Linked DNA regions of Stegostoma tigrinum. The protein of the gene in region 2 interacts with the protein of the main gene of each other region in a pairwise test. Links are inferred from orthologs where the notes say so. Each region holds a gene or a part of one and is shown on either strand. Other genes may lie near its edges.

Evidence for each region.
Region 1: the proteins of rhobtb3 (region 2) and ubxn11 interact in binary tests that used the Homo sapiens proteins (3 or more experiments, as listed by UniProt). The two-hybrid records come from large-scale screens. The link is inferred for Stegostoma tigrinum from reciprocal best matches to the Homo sapiens genes RHOBTB3 and UBXN11.

Annotation. Positions count from the first base shown.
Region 1 is NC_081377.1:31,744,853-31,755,172, forward strand, and holds the start of ubxn11 (UBX domain-containing protein 11), read left to right. Parts: upstream 1-5,449; 5' UTR 5,450-5,817; coding exon 5,818-5,891; intron 5,892-9,710; coding exon 9,711-9,748; intron 9,749-9,891; exon of another isoform or gene 9,892-9,970; intron 9,971-10,320. UniProt on the Homo sapiens protein: May be involved in the reorganization of actin cytoskeleton mediated by RND1, RND2 and RND3. Promotes RHOA activation mediated by GNA12 and GNA13.
Region 2 is NC_081356.1:88,473,419-88,483,523, reverse strand, and holds the start of rhobtb3 (rho-related BTB domain-containing protein 3), read left to right. Parts: upstream 1-5,318; 5' UTR 5,319-5,583; coding exon 5,584-5,585; intron 5,586-5,766; coding exon 5,767-5,992; intron 5,993-10,105. UniProt on the Homo sapiens protein: Rab9-regulated ATPase required for endosome to Golgi transport. Involved in transport vesicle docking at the Golgi complex, possibly by participating in release M6PRBP1/TIP47 from vesicles to permit their efficient docking and fusion at the Golgi.

The DNA of each region.
Region 1 (10,320 bases), on a different chromosome or scaffold from region 2:
ATGATCTTTACGGATAATGATAATTCCGTATCTAGAAGTGTAAATCTGAGGTATGACATGGTACCAGGAAAACCTTGTTTAATTGATCTACACTTCAGAATGTAAATAAAAGGTGCCAGATATTCACTTGGAAAATCCACTTGATCTGCGGTAATGTGGACTGGATGTTCGTGCCCTTTTTGGCACACATTTCCCTGAAAGTCCTGCCATGTAATGCAATTTCTTCAGAAATTATTTCCGGTTAATTTGAAATATCATTCGTTGTCCTTCTCATGATATCAACTTACAAAGCAATCTTTTGATTTTTGTAGCCATTGTGGGTATGACATCAATTCAGAGTGATGTATTCTAAAGTTGATTCTTATATGTAGTTGATCTTTTTTCTAAATGTGTACATGGGATGCGGAGATCATTGGCTGGACCAACATTTATAATCCATCCTTAATTGCCTTACAGAAATTGGTGATGAGCTGCCTTCTTGAATCTGTGCAGCCTTGGGGTGTAGGTACACCATGGTGCTGCTAATAAGGGATTTCCAGACTTCTGAATCAGAAAGAATGAAGCCTTGGTGATATAGTTCCAACTGCCCGCTGAAATAGCCTAGCAAGCCATTCCATTTTATCAATCACTAGAAAGTCTCAAAAAAGGCACGAAACGAGATGCACCACCCAGCATCAACTGAGGTACCGGAAAGAATTATGGCAAACACAACCCTGTGAACCCTGCCAACACCCTCCTTACTAACACCTAGCATCTTGTGCCAAAATTGGGTGTGATGTCATACAGATTAGTTGAGAAACAGCAAGTCACAGTAATAATCATGGAATTATGCCTTGCAAACAATGTCCTAGAGGCCATCCCTGGCTATGTCCTATGCCACCAGCAACATTGACCCAGCAGAGGTGGCGACACTGTGATACACAATTGGAAAGGGGTTGTCTTGGGAATCCTCAAACCTGACTCTGGACCCCATTAGGTCTCATGCCATGAGGTCAAACATGGATAAGGAAACCTCCTGCTGATTAACATATACTGCTCACCCCCATTCCCTGTTGCTGAATCAATACTCCTCCGTGTTGAACATCAGGTGGAGAAGCACTAAAGATGCAAAGGGTGCAGAATATATTCTGGGGAGGTGTCTTCAATGTTCACAACCACAGTAGCTCAGCAGCACCACCACTGGCCAATCTGGCTGAATCCTAAAGCATATAGCTGCTAGACTGGGTGTGCAGTAGGTGGTGAAGGAGCCAAACCCGGGTCCCCAGAACATTATCTGGGTCTCTGGATTAACAGTGGAAAAACATGCCTTACTTCATTCTCACCAATTTTTTTTTGCTGCAGCTGCATCTGTTCATGAGACTATTGGTAACAGTGACCACAACACAGTTCTTGTGGAGACAAAACACTGCCTTCACAATGAGACTACCCTCCATTGTGTTATGTGGAACTAAAAGGTGAAGTCACGATGCTTCTAACCAGACCACCTGGCTGCGCTCTTATCAGAAAGAGACACTTGGTGGGAGCTTAACTTGAGGGTCACTGCACTTCAGGCAAGCAGAGGAGAATCCTTCATGTTAATTTGAGCAGCACAGGAATTGCACCCAGACTACTTAGCATCACCTCTGGTCACAAGCCAACAACCCAGCCAAATGAGCTAAATAGCGCTATCAACAGGCTAAATGGAAAAGATTTCAAACAGATATAGCAAATCAAAACTGGGCATCAATGAAACACTGACTCATCAGCAGCAGCAGAATTGCATTCCAACACAATCTACAACTATAGAACCTGACATATTGTCCACTCTACCATTTCAATCAAGCCAGGGGATTAACCTTGGTTGAATGAAGGGTGCAGGAGGGCATGCCAGGGGCAGCACCATCTATACCTAAAAATTGAGGTGTTAATCTGATAAATATATAAATTAAGACAATTTGTAGACCAACCAGCATTAACAACAAGTGATGGACATGGCTAAGTGATTCCACAACCAGTAGATTAGATCTAAGCTTTGCAGTCCTGTCACATTCAGTTATGAACAGTGTTGGACAAGCAACTCACTGGAGAGGGAGGTTCCACAAATATCTCCATTCACAAAAATAGGGTAGATCAGGACATTAGTGCAAAATACAATGCTGAACCATTTGCAACAATCTTCAGCCAAAAATGCTGAGTGCATGATCCATTATAACCTCCTTCAGAATTTATCAGCATCACTGATGCCAATTCGATTCACTCCATGTGATTTATTTATTTGTTTGTGGGACATGGGAAATGCCCCTAGTTGCTCTTGAAAAGATGGTATGGAGTTGCCTTCTTGAACCACTGCAGTCAACGTTCTGTAGGTTGAACCACAAAGCCCTTTGAGAGGAATTTCCAGGATTTTGACCTAGCATCAGTGAAGGAATGACAATACATTTCCAAAGTCAGGATGGTCAGTGACTTGGAGAAGAATTTGCAAGTGATGGTGCTCCCTTGAATCTGCTGCCCTTGTCCTTCTAGATAGAAGCGGTTATGGCTTTGGAAGGTGCTGTCTAAGGATCTTGGGTGAATCAAGAAACAGCTGGAGGCACCAGAAACTACAAAGGCTATGGGGCCCAATAGCAATCCTGCAATACTTATAGGATACTGCATTCAACTCTCGTGTAAACTTTTGGCAAAGATCTGTATCTCGGTTTATGAATGAGGTTGTTGACTTGTTTGCTGAGCAGGCCTGTTTCTATTCAGACGTCTCGTCACCATGCTGGGTGACATCATCAGTGCAGCCTCCGATGAAACAATGTTATTTTACTCCACTTGGAATTGATACTGCCCAGCCCATTATGGCAAGTACTGTCATTTCCAGTTTTGATCTGTATGGCTTTGTATGTGGGGTCCAATTCTATATGTCTGTTGATGAATTATGGGTGGAGAACCATGCCTCTCGGAATTCCTGTGCATGTCCACTGGGACAAAGTAACCATAGTAGCCCAAGCCAAACATAGACATGCATGAGATTTCCTAGAGGCATTGTTCTCCACCTACACTTCAATCAACAAACATATAGACAATGTGGAAAATGTCCAGGTTTGGTCTGTAAATAGAACTAGGAGAAATCCAACTAATTACTGCCTCTTCTGTCGCTTCTTGATTATCAGTAAAGTGATGGGAACTGTTTGATGAGGTGGGTGGGTGAGTGGGATGCCCTGGACTGTTTGCGCTCTTTCTGCTGCTAAACGTCCATGTGCTCCATTCAGTGACAAGTCTTTGGGTCTTCACGGATTCTTCTCCAGATTGAGTGTTCTAAGGGAAGTGATTCCCATGTGTCAGTGAGGATGTTGTTTTGCTTTCAGGGTGCCCTTATAGCATTTGCTCTGCCCTCTTAATGATTGCTTACCATTGTGGAGCTCAGAGTAGAGGACTTGTTTATGGAGTCTTGTCGGGCATTCAGACAAGACACTCATCATGGGCCAGCATTTATTGCTGGTCATGAGTACCCCTTGATATGGTGGCTGTGAGTTGCCTTCTTGAAACACTTCAGTCCATGTGCTGTGGGTAATCCCACAATGCTTTTCATGAGGGAACTTCAGGATTTTGACCCAGTAACAGTGTTGGAATGGCAAAATATTTCCAAGCCAGGATGGTGAGTTACTTGGAGAGAAACTTGCACATGGTGGTGCTCCTATGTACCTGCTGCCCTTGGTCCTTATAGGTGGAAATGGTCGTGGGTTTGGAAGGTGCTAACAAGCTTTGGTGAATTTTTGCAGTGCATCTTGTAGATGGTACTCGCTGCTTCTATCAAGCATCAGGGTTGTGGGGAGTGGACATATGTAGATGCCAAGTATGCAGGCTGCTTTGTCCTAGATGGAGCCAAGCTTCTTGAGTGATGTTGGAGCTGCACTCATCCAGGCAAGTCGGGAGTATTCCATCACACTCCTGCCTTGTGCCTTGTAGATGGTGAGCAGGCTTTGTGGAATCAGGAAGTGAGTTACTTGCTGCAGGATGCCAAGCCTGTTACCTGGTCTTGTGGCAACTGTGTTTTTATGGCAAGTCCATTTAAATGTCTCATCAGTGGAAAACCCCAGGATGTTGATAGTGAGGGATTCAGTGATAGTGATGTCACTGAATGTTAAGGGAAATTGTTTTAGTTAATCTCTTATTGCAGATGGTCATTGCCTGACATTTGAGAGGCATGAATGTAACTTGCCACTTTTCAGCCCAAGCCTCGATATGGTCTGCTTCAGTATCAAAGGCAATGAGCACGGTACTGAACATTGTATAATCATCAGCACTTCTGTTCCTTTAATGGCGAACAATGAAGGAGGCGAAGATAGTTGGGTCTAAGATAGTGACACATTGTCACAGAGTGCTGTGGAGGCCAAGTCATTGAGACTTAAGACGTCACTTAAGACAGCGATAGGTTCTTGATCAGTAAGAGGATCAAAAGTTACGGGAGGAAGGCAGGAGAATAGAGTCGAAAGACTTGACAGGCATAACATTTCAAAAGAAAAATAGAATGATGCTTGGTTTGAGTTTTTTTAAATAATGTCTTTTGATCCTTTTTGTTTTTCAATTGCAGCCCAATTGCCTTTTAAGGAATTTTTGTACTGTATACTCATGTTTTCAGCAATCTCTATACCTTCACTACAATTCTTAGTGTGCAATTTCCAAATTGAGAATTTTTTCTCAAGCTTTTGAGTTGGAAGAAGCAGATTCTGCTCCTATATTTTATGGTCATAGGACACTATTCTCAGGACATCCTGTAAAGACGTCCTGGAGATAAGGTGACACAGCATGGAGCTGATGGAACATAGAAGGCCAGGCAGCATCAGAGGAGGCGGAATGCTGATATTTTGGGTTGGGACCAAAGAAGGGGCCTGATCCGAAACATCAGCTTTCCTGTTCCTCTGATGTGCCTGGCCTGCTGTGTTCCTCCAGCTCCACGCTGTGTTATCTAGCATTGGCAGTTTTTACTATATGTAGAAATTAAGTAACTACCTCCAATGCCTTAACCATTTTCCTTTAACTCCAGTATTACTCCACCTGAGCAGAGGGATCTGGTTTGCGATTGGATAAGCGAGACTGGTCAGAATGGATGGAAGTGGCCAATCTGTGATTGGATGGGGGCGACTGGTCAGTGATTGGCTCACAGTTACTTGTCAGTAATTGGACGGAAGGATCTAGTTAGTGATTGGATGGAGGTGACTGGTCAGGGAATGAATGGAGGTGATGATCAGTCATTGGACATGGTTGGTTTAAGATCTATGTTCCGGAATTGGATGAAAGTTTTGACCTTTGATTATGGGGCGACCACTTGTTGAAGATGTTTGGCCTCTGATTGGCAGAATAAATATTCGGTAGTGTCCAATCAGTTTTCACCTTTATTTGTGGTCCGCTCTCATCGCTGCTAATCAGCTATTTGCTTACTGCATTTCTTAGCAACGTATTAAACAATAAGTCTGCCCGGGGAGAAGCTCAGGATACTGCCCAGCCCCGACAGCCCTCTAACCCGCTTAGCGCTAGAGGGGAGCTGAGAAGCAAAGCTAGAGGCATCGGTCAGCGTGGGAGAGGATAGTGGAGCCTGGTCACTGATCAGTGAGGGATAGGATCCAGGGCAGCGGTCAGTTTGGGGCAGAATCCCAGGCAGTGGTCAGTGTGGGACAGTTACCCGGGCAGTGACCAGTTTGTGACAAGATCCAGGGCAGTAGCTAGTGAGGGACAGGATCCAGGGCAGTGGTCCGTGTGGAAGAAGATCCCAGCCAGTGGCCAGTGTGAGACAGGATCCTAGACCCTGTGGCAGAGTTATTAAGGGGTCTGAGCAAGGTGTTTGTAATCACAATGAGCTCCCCACTCTCATCTCTAGGAAAATTACAGAAAGTATCAGTACTCCTGCCAGAGCTGCAGGATCGTCGGTAAGTGAGACCTTGCTCCTTGCTCTATTCTGTTCTATGCTGTAAATAAACAAATAAAAGTGACATTTCTGTAGCAAGGTGAGAGGGCAGATGTGAACACAACCTGCCTCAAACTCCAACCTCCCCCACCCCCCACCTAAGCCACACACCATCCTGACTTGGGGTAGTTTGGGCATTGGAATGGATGGAGATTGTGATGTTGTGTAGTACCACTAATTGTTAGACTAAGGCTAATGGTTTAGGATATGGATTAATATCGCATTATGGTGGTTGGTGAAATTTCGTTTCTATTAATAAATCTGTAATGTAAAAGCTAGTTTTAGTGATGATAACCATGACAGTGATCAAACAGCCATTTTGTTTCCTCATGCCCTTGAGGGAAACAAATCTGTTGACTTTACCCAGTCTGGACTACGTGCGACTCCAACAGAAATGTGGTTTATCCTATATTAATTTCCCTTTGAAGTAGCAAAGCAAGGTACATAGTTCAAGGAAATAGGCAATAATTGCTGACCAGGTCAATATTCCACAAAAGAAAAATTCAGTAATGCTACTTAGTACTGTAGTTGCAATGCCCAAACAGTTGACATGACACTGTTTAGCTTGCTGCACATTGTTTAAAATTTAAAGCAAGATTTTGTCACAAATTACCAGTAGGTCTGCTAGTCTCCACAGTTCCTGCACAAAACTTCTGAACTTCTGTTGTCCCAAAAAGGAAAAGAAAAATTCTGATATTCCAATTATTTTGCGCTTTCTGACATATAGCCAATCTCCAACTAGAGTACAATCCTATTGGTGAGGAAATAACTTATGGTTGGGGTTTGGTGCTGCTACCAATCATCCATTGTATGCTGAGTGTATAATTATCTGTGATAGAGGGAAGACTTTTGATGGGTCTTAAGAAGAATCCATTTGACGTGTTAACAAGAGGCAGCTTACTACATCATAGCAATAGGTATAGGTTACTTTTGGCTAGTTTGACATAACTCTTTCAGGACCCAGAAATGATGCTCTGTTTCAACTAGGACCTCATGCTAGACCAAAGTGTGTGTAATATCATCAGATTGGGTGGATCTCAATGTAGCTTCAGCATTAACTGGCATAGACATAGTGGGCTGAAGGGCCTGTTTCATTGTTGTGTGACCCTATGACTCTATAATGCTTTAAAGAACTTTATACAAGACCATATAAATGCAATTTATCTGTTTGCCTGTACGATCTTATGCATTAATATCAAGAAAGATTCTACTGGATGTTCTGTGCTCTGAAGAAGTTTATGTAACCATAGCCTCAATCTTCTCAATGGGCATTACATCGTGTGTATAAAGAATAGGTAGCACATAGGTTCATACTAAAATGCTCTAGATCCAGAACTTGTTTGCGCCACATGTAGTCCAGGTGCACTACATTGGTCCTGTCTTTCTCCCTCATCTATTTGGAAAAAAATGCCTATATTATCATTTCACCTTGGGCAAAACTGCATAAACGTGTGTCCTAAGAATATATTCTTTAACCTGCAACCATAGAGCTTTGAGTATGATGGCATCCTGAAGTTCAGTGGAAAGGAACTTTAGTTTGAAGTTAAGGAGGATGACCTCTTTGACCTGTCCATCTTCCCTCCCACCTACCCACCCGTCCCTCCCAGCTGACCAACCCACTTCCCAACTCCCTACCTATGCTCACCTGTACTGGCTCCATCCCCACCTCCTTAATCTGTCCATTTTATCCCCACCTATCTGCTCCTCTATCCACCTTCCATCATCGCCTCCTCTTCTCTATTTATTTCAGAGTCCCCTTCCCCTCCTCTATTTCTGAATAAGGATCCAGACCCAAAACGTCAGCTTTCCTGCTCCTCTGATGCCGCCTGGCCTGCTGTGTTCATCCAGCTCTACAACTTGTTATTTCAGACTCGAGCATCAGCAGTTCCTACTATCTCTGAATTGGTTATAATGTATAAAACAAATGTGGGTGGATGCTTTTGGAGGTTCTTGTCTTTCAGACAAAATGTTAAATCAAGATCCCATAAAATTGCCCATGATCTTTGAATATCATAAATCACTTAATAGTCAATGATATACTTCTGAAATGGAACACTTGTGTAAAGAAAAAACCCATAGATTGACTTGGTAATTTGATAGAGTAACCTGTTTTAGTGATATTGGTTGACGGATGAATTTTGGGTATGACCCCAGGGAGAACTCCCCAGCTCTTCCAATTGTTTGGCAGGTTCTTTAATGTTTCATCTGAAAAATGGCATCTCTGACAGTGCTGAACGTCGTCAGCATTGCAATGGATTGTCAGCCAAGATTATGTGCTCAGTTCTCTGGAGGTTGCCTAAACCCATGAGCTCCTGAATCAGAAATGAGGATGCTCTACAGGATCAAGCCTATGATACTATGATGTTGTGCCTCAGGAGTTGCTTGCCTGTAGCAAAGAAGGGCTGATAGTCTAAAACAGGGACTGATTCACCATCAGGCTGTGTTTTCACAATGAGCATCCTTGCACAATAGCCAAAGATAATTTTCAATTCTCTTTCTCCAGTCCTACAATATTTATCTATTCCAGTATCCAAATTCCTTTACTGCAACATTTTTCACAACTGCCTGCACAGCAGAGTAGTATTTTATAATCCATTAGCAGCATTTTCAGTTTTCACCATTATTTCCATTTTTGAGACTTAATTGTATGTTAACTGCCCACCGCCAATCCAAACGTTGTCCCTTTCCACTCTCAGTGAAGAGTTGTGGTGATAAGATTAGTGGCTCCTCTCTCACTCTTCCCCTCTGCGCCACTCCCCTCTGCCATTTCACCTTTGAGTCACAGTTTAGACAATGAAGTTCAATTGTTGTGTGGTTGCATCACATCTGAGCTGAGCTGACCTCACCTCCCACATATGACATTTGTTCATTAGTAGCAGTCAGGGAAGGTTATCCAGCTGATTGTTACGGTCATAGACTGGAGTTTAAACCACAGAGTCATAACGTTTAATGCTTTATGCCAGGACTACCCAGAGTGGGAGTTGGGACTCCATGGACGTTGCAGGCAAAAAGATTTGGGCCATGACTGCTGTGCTATGCCTCCAACAGACTGAGCCTTCCCCTGAACCCCTCAAGATCACAGGTCTCCTTCCCTTTCATACCCTCTCCCCTCACATTTCTTGTTTAAGAGCCACAGTAATATCCAAGCATCAAAATAGGGGTCACTGGGAAATAGAGAGAAATAGTGGGTCACAGTGAGAAGTGTTGCTTTCTGATATCCTGTTTGATAAAGAATGCTCTGCATTTATTTTGCTCCTTACACAGTCTTGATACATTTGAAAGTGCTGATAAACCAGCTAAATACTTTTGAAATCACAGTCACCATTGTAATGTAGAAACCAGCGTAGTCAATTTTGTATGTAGTAAATTCCTGTCAGAATCAAGAAATTTTTAATATTGATAGTGTGTGAAGGATAGATATTAGCCAGGACACTGTAGGTAATCTCCCCCACTTAACACAAAATAAAGGTTTGAGATTTTCTTCGTCACCTGAGATGACAGATAGGATCTCTCAATAGAAAAATGGTATTTTTTGATTTGCAGTACTCCCTTCTGACTGCACTGACTATGCTAAACTGAATTGTTGCACAGGATTTTAAATCCTCAGTCTCCTGAATTGGAGTCAAGCATGCTACCATTAAACAATAGCTGATACTTCTAAACCTATTGTAATTGTATGTACACATCTTTTATTTTGTACTTTTGGAAATATTTCGTCTGTGTATACTCACATCACTGATAAGTGCCACTGTCTTAATTTCCTTTGGTATATTTTTCACAGCAAGCAAGCAGTATGTTTTGAAAAGGACTGCCACACAGGTAAGGCAGCCAAATTCTCACAGACACATTCAAAATCTAATCCTGATGTATCCTGTAGCCACAGTAGTTAACAGGAGCTGCTGAGCTGTCTGAATGCCAGGGTCTGCCATGCTGTGGAACCTTAGTGGTTCTCACCACACACTGCCTGATGATCCAGTAGTGGCAATACCTTCCAGTGTAGAATCAGTCTCTGCAGAGTGAACTGACCACTGGACTGGACAGGTAAGCGAGAGCTCTTTGTGAGAATTGGATTCTGCATTTTTTCCACTTGATGCTACTAAACACGCTTGTACTCGCAGTGTGTACAAGCGCAGAGTGAGTCTGCTTGGAGTAGATAACAAAAAATCCATGAAAAGCTATTCCTGTGGTTCTGATTCTAAATGTCTCTGGCTTAATAATAAAAAAATTGTTTCTCTCTCTCAAGAGCTTACGCTGTTGATCACTATGTAACCCCAACTCAAAAATACCCATAGAGATATTGATGTAGACTAGGCTGATTTCAGCTCTGACTCCTCATGGTCATGGTCCCACCAGTGATGTGCAGTCTTTTGTTAATTTGTTTTGAGGACAAG
Region 2 (10,105 bases):
TGTTCTTGAACTTGCTGTGCATGTGTTCAGGCTTCTGTTTCTTCTGCCTGATGGAAGAAGTTGTAGGAGATCATTACCAGGGTGCAATGAGTTTTTGATGATGCTGGCCACCTTTCTGCAACAGCAGGCCATATAAATACAATGCATGGATAGAAAGTTGGTTTCCACGATGGTCTGGGCTGTGCACACCACCCTCTGTAGTTTCTTACACATCCTGAGAAGCGCAGTTGCTATACCAGGGCGTTACACACCCGGACAGTATGCTTTCAGTTGTGCGTCTGTAGACGTTGGTGAGGGACCTTTTTATAGATATGCCAAATTTCCTTAGCAGCCTGAGAAAGAGAGGTGTTGTTGTGCCTTCTTAACCATTGCATCTATGTGGCAAGACCAGAACAGATTGTCCATCTTGTGACTTCGAGGAACTTGATGCTCTCCACCTTTTCAACCTCCGTTCCATTGATGTAGATGGGGGCATGTTCTCCTGCTTTCTCTTTCTGAACTCCATGATCGATTCTTTAGTTTTGTTGACCTTGAGAAAGAGGTTGTTTTCATTGTGCCATGTCACCAAGCCCCCTCTTTCTGTATTTTGACTCATTGTTGTTAGATATCTGTATTTCTACAGTGGTGACATCAGCAAACTTGTAGGGGCATTCGTTTAGAATTTGGCAACACAGTCGTAGGTGTACAAGGAGTATGGAACGGGACTGAGCATACATCCCTTGGTGGGGGGAGGTATGCGGGGGATCCAGTGTTGAGTGTTATTGTGGAGGAGGTGCAGTTACCTATCCTCACTGATTGTGGCCTACGGGTCAGGAAGCTGAGGATCCAGTTGCAGAGGGCGGAGCCGTGATTAAGGTCACACAGTTTTGTGATCAGTCCGGAGGGGATAATGACGTTGAAGGTAGAGCAGTCATCGGTGAGCAGGAGTCTGATGTAGGTGTCTTTGTCCTGATGTTCCAGGAATGAGTACAGGGCTAAGGGTATGGCATCTTCTGTGAATCTGTTATGTCAGTAGGAAAATTGTAGGGGATCGAGTCAGGTGGGAGACTGGAGTTGATATGGGCCATGGCCAGCTTCTCGAAGCAATTCATTGGTCCGAGCCACTGGGCAGTAGTCCTTAAGGCATGCTGCATGTGTTTTCGTGGGCACGGAGATGATGGCGATCTTCTTGAAGCAGGTGGGGACTTTGTAGGAGGGAGACATTTGAAGACGTCAGTGAATACCTCCACCAGCTGGTCTGCGTAGGATTCGAGTGCTCTGCTGGGGACATTATCCGGGCCCATCGCTTTCTTTGGGTTGCCTCCCAGGAAGACTGATATGATGCGTGCAACAGTGACCAAGGGAAAGATGATTTATCTGGAACTGTTGGGGCAGGTGTCACTGTGCCACCGATATTTCATTCAAACTAAGCATAGAAAGCATTGAGAACATCAGGGAGGGTTATAGAGATAGTAGGAACTGCTGATGCTGGAGAAACTGAGACAACAGGTCAAAGAGGCAGGGATGAGGCTGATAGGTAGGAGGTGTGGGTGGGGGTTGAGGTGGAAGAAGCAGATAGGCAAGAGAAAAGATGGACAGGTCAGGGAGGCGGGAGGAGATGGGCTGGTTTTGGGATGAGGTCGGGTGTGCTCAGCTTCATTTTTAATTGTGTAATGTTGGTTAGAGCATGCCATAGACAGTGCAGGACTGTTTGGAAAGTCTGGGCCTCTACCTTGGTCTGGCATTGCCTCTTGGCGTCCCTGATGGCTTTGCGGAAGTCGTATCTGGATTTCCTGTGTTGTTGGTCTGGGTCACCCAACTTGAATGCTGCACATTTAGTCTTCAGCAAGGAGTTGATTCTCCGGTTCATCCAAGATTTATGGTTGGGAACACTCGGATTGACTTCTTTAGTCCACAGTCCTCCAGGTATTTGCTGATGAAGTCAGTGATGGTGGTGGCAAACTCACCTCAGTTTTCTACTGAGAACTTGAACACAATCCAGTCCACTGATTCCAAGCAGTCCCGGAGACAGTCTTCCACAGCTTCAGACCATCATTGTACTTCCTTTCATGAAGCTCCTTCCCGTTTCAGCTTCTGATTATAAGCTGGGAGGAACGCAATGCTGTAATCTGATTTTCTGAAGTGTGGGCAGGGGGTTTGGAGCAGTAGGCATTTTGAAGGTTGTGTAAGCAGTGATCCAGGATGTTTGGTCCCCTGGTGCAGCAAGAGATGTGCTGGAGGTACTTTGGCAGCACCCTCTTGAGGTTGACTTGGTTGAAGTCACTGGCCGCACTGAATAAGGCCTTGGGGACTTTTGTCCCTAGTATCTTTTGTGGCAGTGTAAATTATGTCAAGGGCATTCTTCACATCGACATGGGTCAGTGTGTCGATTGCTTATTCTTACGGTATTCTGCTTTTATTTCTATCTTCAATTTCTTCGATAACTTTCTCAATTTAGCCTTAGTCAAAGATTTTGAGTATTCCATTGTTACAGTTTGTACTTCCAGATAATAGCACTTGCAACAGTCAAGCTATTTTGAATGTCCTACCTATATCCAAAGATTTCATGTTCTTTTATTTTGTGCTTGGTATCTTCACAAACTCGTATGTTTAAGATACACAGATCGCTCTTAAATTCCATGAATTTGGATCCTGCAAAGGCCCCCACCGTAAGATCCCAGCTGATTGGAATACCGGACAAGTGAAATTACCGAGTGAGATCTGGCTTAATCAGCCAAATTTTGTCCTTCTTTTTCTTTACTATGGAAATCAGTAATTGAACATATTTTCTTAAGTATCTTTTGAACAACTTGATGTTTTATTATACAAAAGAAAAAGATGAACCATGTTATGCTGTATAAGAACTATTTGAAATGGTCTCATTACAAATATCAAAAAGAAAGATTCAACCCTTTTCATCAACAACCTTACAGACACCCAGACCTCAGTGAAGGATCTCCCCACTCCACTTTACAGTCGTATTTGCTGAATAGTCTGTTTCTTTTCAGTAAATTTCTGCATTCACTCAATTATGTTTTTTTTTCAGTTAATGTAATCTTGAGGCCCTTAAATTGTTACCTCAACTCTTATTGCTTAAAATTTGTTCCATAAACTCATGTCTTTAACAGCTTGAGCCTTTCTCCTTAACAACTGGGACTTCTGCCCATTCTTGCTCTGAATATTTTGTTAACCCTGCTGTTGCAGACCGTTTACCTTTGCATGAACACTGCCTGACTTCTTCTAGATTGTTGTAACTTTCTGTTTTACTGAGCTCCCGTCACAGGCAACAATGGTTTTTCTTTTGTCTCTTCTATCTTTTTATGTGAGTGCTCTGAACTGATCACCTCCAGCTGTCCAAGGCTGTAACCATCACTTAAAACAAAAATATAAACAAAGACAAAATTTCCTGGCACTAAAACTCTCAAAGTGAAACTAAAACCATGTTTTCACTCATCTAAACACATACAATACAGAAATACAAATCAATCTCAAAGCTATCTGTTATTCTTCTGGGCACTTTCTTGTTTTTCTGCGTCAGTTTTTAATCCTGTCTTTTGTATGTTTAGGTGGAGCTGGAGAATGATGACTTTGTACACTTTTCACTGCACTTGATTACACATCAATAAAATCTAAATCAAACAATATTACTATACTGTAAGCCACCTTCACAATTGTATGACATGGCTTTTGCATGCCACTCGTCAGCCTAAAACTTAATGTTGTCTGGGTCTGGCTTAATAAAGTCACAGATATCTTCAATATTTGATGAGCTAGAAATGTTGCTGAACATGTGCAATCATCTGTGAATGTCAACACTTCTGACCTTAAGATTGAAGGAATGTCATTTACATATGATGTAAACATGGTTGGGTATAGGAGATGACCCTGGGGAACTCATGCATTGATATTTGAGGACTGAGCTGATTGCTGTCCAACATCCACAGTCCCTTTCCTTTGTACTAAGTATGATTAGAATCCCTACAGTGTGGAAACAGGCCCTTCGGCCCAACAAGTCACACTGCCCCTTGAAGCATCCCACCCAGACCCATCCCCCATAACCCACACACCCCTGAACACTACATGCAATTTAGCATGGCCAATCCACTCTAGCCTGCACATCTTTGGACTGTGGGAGGAAACTGAAGCACCCAGAGGAAACCCGCGCAGACACGGGGAGAATGTGCAAACTCCACACAGACGGTTGCCCAAGGCTGGAAATGAACCTGGGTCCCTGGTGCTGTGAGGCTGCAGTGTTAACCACTGAGCCACCGTACTGCCCCCAAATCCCACTGTTTGCAGTTTTGTGAGTGCTCCTTGATGTCATACCCAGTCAAAAGCAGTTTTCATATAAAAAGTAGGCAGCCTCACCTCCTCTCAGAATTTCAGCCCTTTTGTCCATGTTCAGACTGAGGATGCTATGAGGTCACGAGTTGAGTGGGCCTGGCAGAACCTGAGTTGAGTGTCAGTGAGTAGGTCATGCTGTGTCAGTGCCATTTCACAGCACAGTTAATGATCCCTTTCAGCACTTGGCTGATGATTCAGAGTGGACTGATGGGGCAATGATTGGCTGTGTTGATTTGTCCTGAATTGTGTGGGTAGAGCATACCTGGGTTATTTTCCACATTGCTGGGTAGATGCCAGTGATGTAGCTGTGCTGAGCATTGCTTGGCTAGGGGTATTGTTACTTCTGAAGCAGAAATAATTGAAATTTATACAGTGTCAGAGGACGTGGATATATGTGATGCTTGCAGTTATTAAACTGCTGAGCCCCCACTTTCCCAGACTATTTATAGAATGACAGCTATCCCACGGTTGATGTATTACACTGTTTGGCTGGCTCGCTGGTAATCTATCCTCATTATGTTGGTGGACAGCATCAGGGCCTGTACCTGGGATTAAATGACTACTTCGAGAAAATTAAAGTTGAGGGGGGAAAAAAAACTATCTGAAACAACCTGTGTTTATGCCGATTGCTGCTGCTGTTAGACATTTAGGCCACCAGTGCTAACTATGGTATCAACTGCGAGCCGCAAGCTGTCCTTCTCACACGTTAGAGGACACACACGGGCTATTGATCCACGCACGGTGTTACTTGATTTCCCGTTCCCAATGTTTCGCTGCCTGAGAAACGGCTCCCTCTGTCTCTCCTTATCCTTAACATCACTGTGATTTTCCTCTTTCGAAATGAAGTCGGGGATGAATCCCGCGTGTGGCGGCTTCAGTGATTTGTGAACGGATTTAAATCTAATTCCTTTGCTTCACTGACGTCAGGAGCCTGTGACTGGACCGGGTTTTGCGGGTGTTTTGGCGGGGGGGGGGGGAGGAATCTGTCCTGTCGTCCACAGTGCTGCTGATTGTGCCAGAGCCGCGTTTTGCAGTCTCCGCTGATCTGCTGTGGGCTAAGGACGAGCCCGCGGGGAAAGGGGCGGCGAGAGTAAAGTTCACCGCCCCGTCTCGCTGGATATTGTTGCATTCTGTGCGGTCAACTCAGGCCAAAGAGCTTCAGCTCACTTCGAGTTTCTTTGTTACTCGCACCGATATAACTATGAATAGACCGCAACGTTGGCTCGGCGTTTGTGTTAAGCTGTCGAGCCAGCATTGATCATGTAAGTTGCACATACCGGTTCGATTAAAGTCGTTTGCAGTTTTTTTTAAAATGAGTTCACTACTGTATTCTGTGTTAAAGTCAGCTGGATAGCTTGTTCTCACAAAGCCGCACGCCTCTACTTGCACGGCTGATGCTAGTCTCCTTTAACTGAGTGCCCCTGTGTGTAACTTGTTGTTTAGGTCGGTTCGCATTGTGGCTCTGGGCAATGAGAGAGCAGGATTTGAGGACAGCCTGCAGCAGCCGGATCTGATCACCACCTATTTCGGCAGACATGCCATTATCCGGCACGTTGAAGAGAGACGCTTGCTCAGCTTTGCCACCCACATCACATTTCCTGCCTTTGTCGAGTACCAAGCTTATGTCTTCGGCAGAGTCCGAGTGCTGATTCACGACTGTCCCAGTTGGGTAAGGAGATAAAAAGTCACAATGGGACTTACAAGATGAGGTTCGCCGCTTAAGGGCACCGGAGATGTACGAGCGCTTTGTAATGTTGGTGCAGCCCACCCCGTACTTGTCCCTCATGTCAGTGGTGCGCCGTTTTTGCTTCGGGTAATCCGGTAGACCCTCTGATGTGCTAGCGTGAAGTTTGCAATTTCAAACCGTGCGATTTTATCAGAAGCATGTTATGTGGAACAGTGATTTCCCCCATTTGTCTTAAAATTGAGACATTTATTCGCTTCATTTGTCCGTGTTACATATTGTCTATTTGCACATAGGTCTAATGTTCAACACACGACCAAAACATCTCGAGTCATACTTTAACCCTGAGACAAATAATAATGACCAATTTTGAGCTTTCAGGAAAAAGGGAAATAATTGCTTATTGTTCTGCTGACTCCTGAGGGTCTTACCACAACTTATGAAAGTCTACAGAATATTTCCACAGTAGTTATTCTTTAATTGACCTCAGGAAGTGCCAATTTAGACTGCAATCCTTGTGATAGTAAGCAAGGTTATCAAAAATTACAGAGGGATTTTTGTCAAAAGTGGAAGTGGGTTGAGGATTGGCAACTGTAATTCAATACAGATAAGTGTGAGGTGTCGCACTTTGGAACTTTTGCCCCACCCCTATAACGACCAGAATAGGTGTTAAAGGCAGTACATGAATGGAATGCTACTTTTGGAACTGGGCTTAAGGTTGTAAAAGCCAGTGTGGGAACTGAACCCTGCTGTTGGTATTACTCACCAGCTAATTGAGCCAACCAACAGTGAAGGGGTATACCATTGGGAAATGAAATCCGTCATAAATGTGAGGATAGGTTTCATAACCGGGCTTAAGGCTCCAAATTACCTGAATAATAGCGGTAGAGATCAGTTACCAATATAATAATACTTTGTCAGAATATACACCTGCAGTTTAATTGGATTTCAATTCCTGACACTTATTTTAAAGAAAAATCTTTCAGAAATTAGCTCTGAGAGACTAAAAATGCTGCTAAGGTATTTTCAAGTTAACTAGAATAATTTTAAAATTAACAAAAAATGGCCTGAATTATGCAGTTATAAAAGGCCAATGAAATAATATAGCCCTTCCAAGCACATAACTGCCCGTATATTGAAATGGGGGAATAGTGCTTTCCCTGTTTCAATGCAGACATTGCTACTAAATATCCAGATCACTTGTCTTGGGAGTGACGAGAAGTAAGTCAATCAGAATGTTCAGTACTGTTTTGGGAATTGCTACAGGCACCTATTAACAGTTTGTTTTAATGAAGTGTGAGTTTCATGTAACAAACTGCAGGACCATTTCAATGACAGTCATTGTGTGAGTATGTTATTTTGTTAGCAACAGCGTAGCTGGGACTAGCAATATTCAAGCCTACCCTCCCATCTCACCCCTACCCCTAAAAGGATGAATATAGGTGTCAAGAGCCGTACATGAATAGAATGCTACTTTTGTAATGTACGATTAAGACTCGGCAGCATGTCATGCAGGTAGACATAAGCTCCAGTAAGTGCGCACTCAGGGAGACGAACAGCGCAGAATTCAGATGACAAGACCTTCGCTGGCAACAGCTGGAGTATGACACAAGCAAAATGGGATAAACTCTACCTCACTGGAAGCAACACAAATAACTGATTAATATTTAAAAGAATATAAATGAAATTTGAGGTGGCTGATAGTTGTATATGACATATTGTCAAGAACTGAGCATGCGATGTTATGTGAGCATTGTTATATGGTGTCCTATACAGGACACAAAAATTAACATGAATAAAAGGAGATAGTAGGAACTGAGAGCTGGAGACAGAGATAACACAGTATGGAGCTGGAGGAACACAGCAGGCCAGGCAGCATCAAAGAAACAGGAAAGCTGATGTTTTGGGTCAGGACCCTTCTTCAGAAATGGGAGAGGGGGCATGGAACTCTGAAATAAATAGAGACAGGGGCTGGGGCTGGGGAAGGTAGGTGGTATGGTGATAGGTGAGTGCAGGTAGGCAGCGGTGGGGATTGGTCAGTGAGGCGGGAGGAGTGGATAGTTGGGAGAGAAGCCAGGTAGGCCGGGGTGGGGAGAATGGGTGGTTGGTCATGGGATGAGGTCAGGGGTGGGGAGATTTTGAAACTAGTAAAGTCCACATTGAGACCATTATGTTGTAGAGTTCCAAGGTGGAATATGAGATGCTGCTCCTCTAGTTTCTGGATGGTGTCATTGTGACACTGGAGGAGGCCCAGGATGGACACGTTGTCCAGGGAGTGGGAGGGGGAGTTGAAGTGGTTGGCAACTGGAAGGTGTCATTTGTCACAAACAGAGTGCAGCTGCTTCACAAAGCGGTCTCCAAGCCTCCACTTGGTCTCACCAACATAGAGGAGGCCACGTCGGGAGCAGCGGATGGAGTAGACCACATTACCATTCTTGTAAACCTCTTTGCATGCTCTCCAAAACATTCACATCCTTCCCACAGCGCAACACCCAGACTGTACAAAATACTGAGGTCTAGTAAGCGCCTTGAATTCATTCAGTATCACCTCCTTGCTGTTGTGCTCTGTGCCCATATTGGTAAAGCCCAGGATACCGTTACTTTACTAACTGCTCTTCCATCTGTCCAGCTGGCACCAATGGTCTGTGCACATATACACCTCTAAAAGTCTTTGCTTCTGCAACCCTGAAAAATTGTAACCTCCATTTTATGTTGTCTGTCCATGTAATGCAAAATATATTACCTCAGTCTTTGACATTTGAACTGCATCTGCCGCTTACTTACCCATTCCGAATACTGGTCCTTTTTCCATTGTGGCATTCCACACTTTCCTCCTCATTGTATACAATGCCATGTGACTTTGTATCATTTACAAACTTGCCTCCTGTTTAGCTAGATCTAAATCATTAATATGTACCAGGAAAAGCAAGGCAGCCAATTCCAACCTCTAAGGAACTTCACAAATCTTCCTCCAGCCCAAAATATCCATTCATTATTACTCTTTGTTTCCTATTGTTCCACTAATTTTGCACCCACTTTGCTATGGTCTCTGTTGTTCCATGAGTTATAACTGTTCTAAATTGTTCTGACATGTTTCACCAGTCTGATGTGTGACACTGTATTGGATACCTGTACAGGACATCAACAATATTATCCTCATTGACCCTTTCTGTTGCTTCTTCAAAAAAAATCCAGCAAGTTAGTAGCAATCTATGCTGACTCTTCCTAACTAACCTAGCACTTGCCATGTGACTACTAACTATATGCCAAATAATTATTTCCAGAAGATTTCCCCTACAGAAGTTAAACTAACTGGTCACTGATTGCTGGATTATTTTGAAAATCTTTTTTTGAACCAGAATGTAATATTCACAATTCTGCACTGGCACGCCCCAAGTCCAGGGAAGATTGTGGCCAGAAGCCCCTAAATTTCCACTCTTTCTTCCTTCAGTATCTTTAGATGCATTACATTGGCTTCAGTAATAAAAACAGAAATTGATGGGAATACTCAGTAGGTTTAGCAACATCTGTGGAGAGAGAAAGCAAAGTTAACATTTCAGGTCTAGGGACCCTCCTTTAGAACATTGTACTTGAATGCCTTGTCAACTTTTCAGTACTGCCATTTTATCCAACACTTCCTCTACTCAATTTTGAATCCTTTTAGTGACTGACTTTCCTCTGTCACTATGGCTTGTGTAGCGACCACATCCTTGGTGAACACACATGCAAAGTATCTGATACCTTAGCCATGCAACGTGCCTCCATATGTAAATTCCCGTTTTGGTCCCTAATCGGCCTTACTCCTCCTGTTGCAACCCCTTCAATATTTAAATACCTATAGAAGTCTTAGGAATTCTCCTTTATGCTGGCTCGCTGTCATTTCTAATGGTCCCTCTTTGCTTCTTTAACATGCTTTGTTTTATATTCCCGCTGGACGTTTTCTGTGTTCCTCTTGTTTCTCCATTGTATTTTCTGCTTGACACTTGTCATAAGCACACTGCTTCTTCTTTATCTTATTTTCTATTTGAATTTTTAACCAGGGAGTTTTGAATTTGTTTGGTGTATCTTTCCATTTTGAGTGAATATACCTTGACTGTA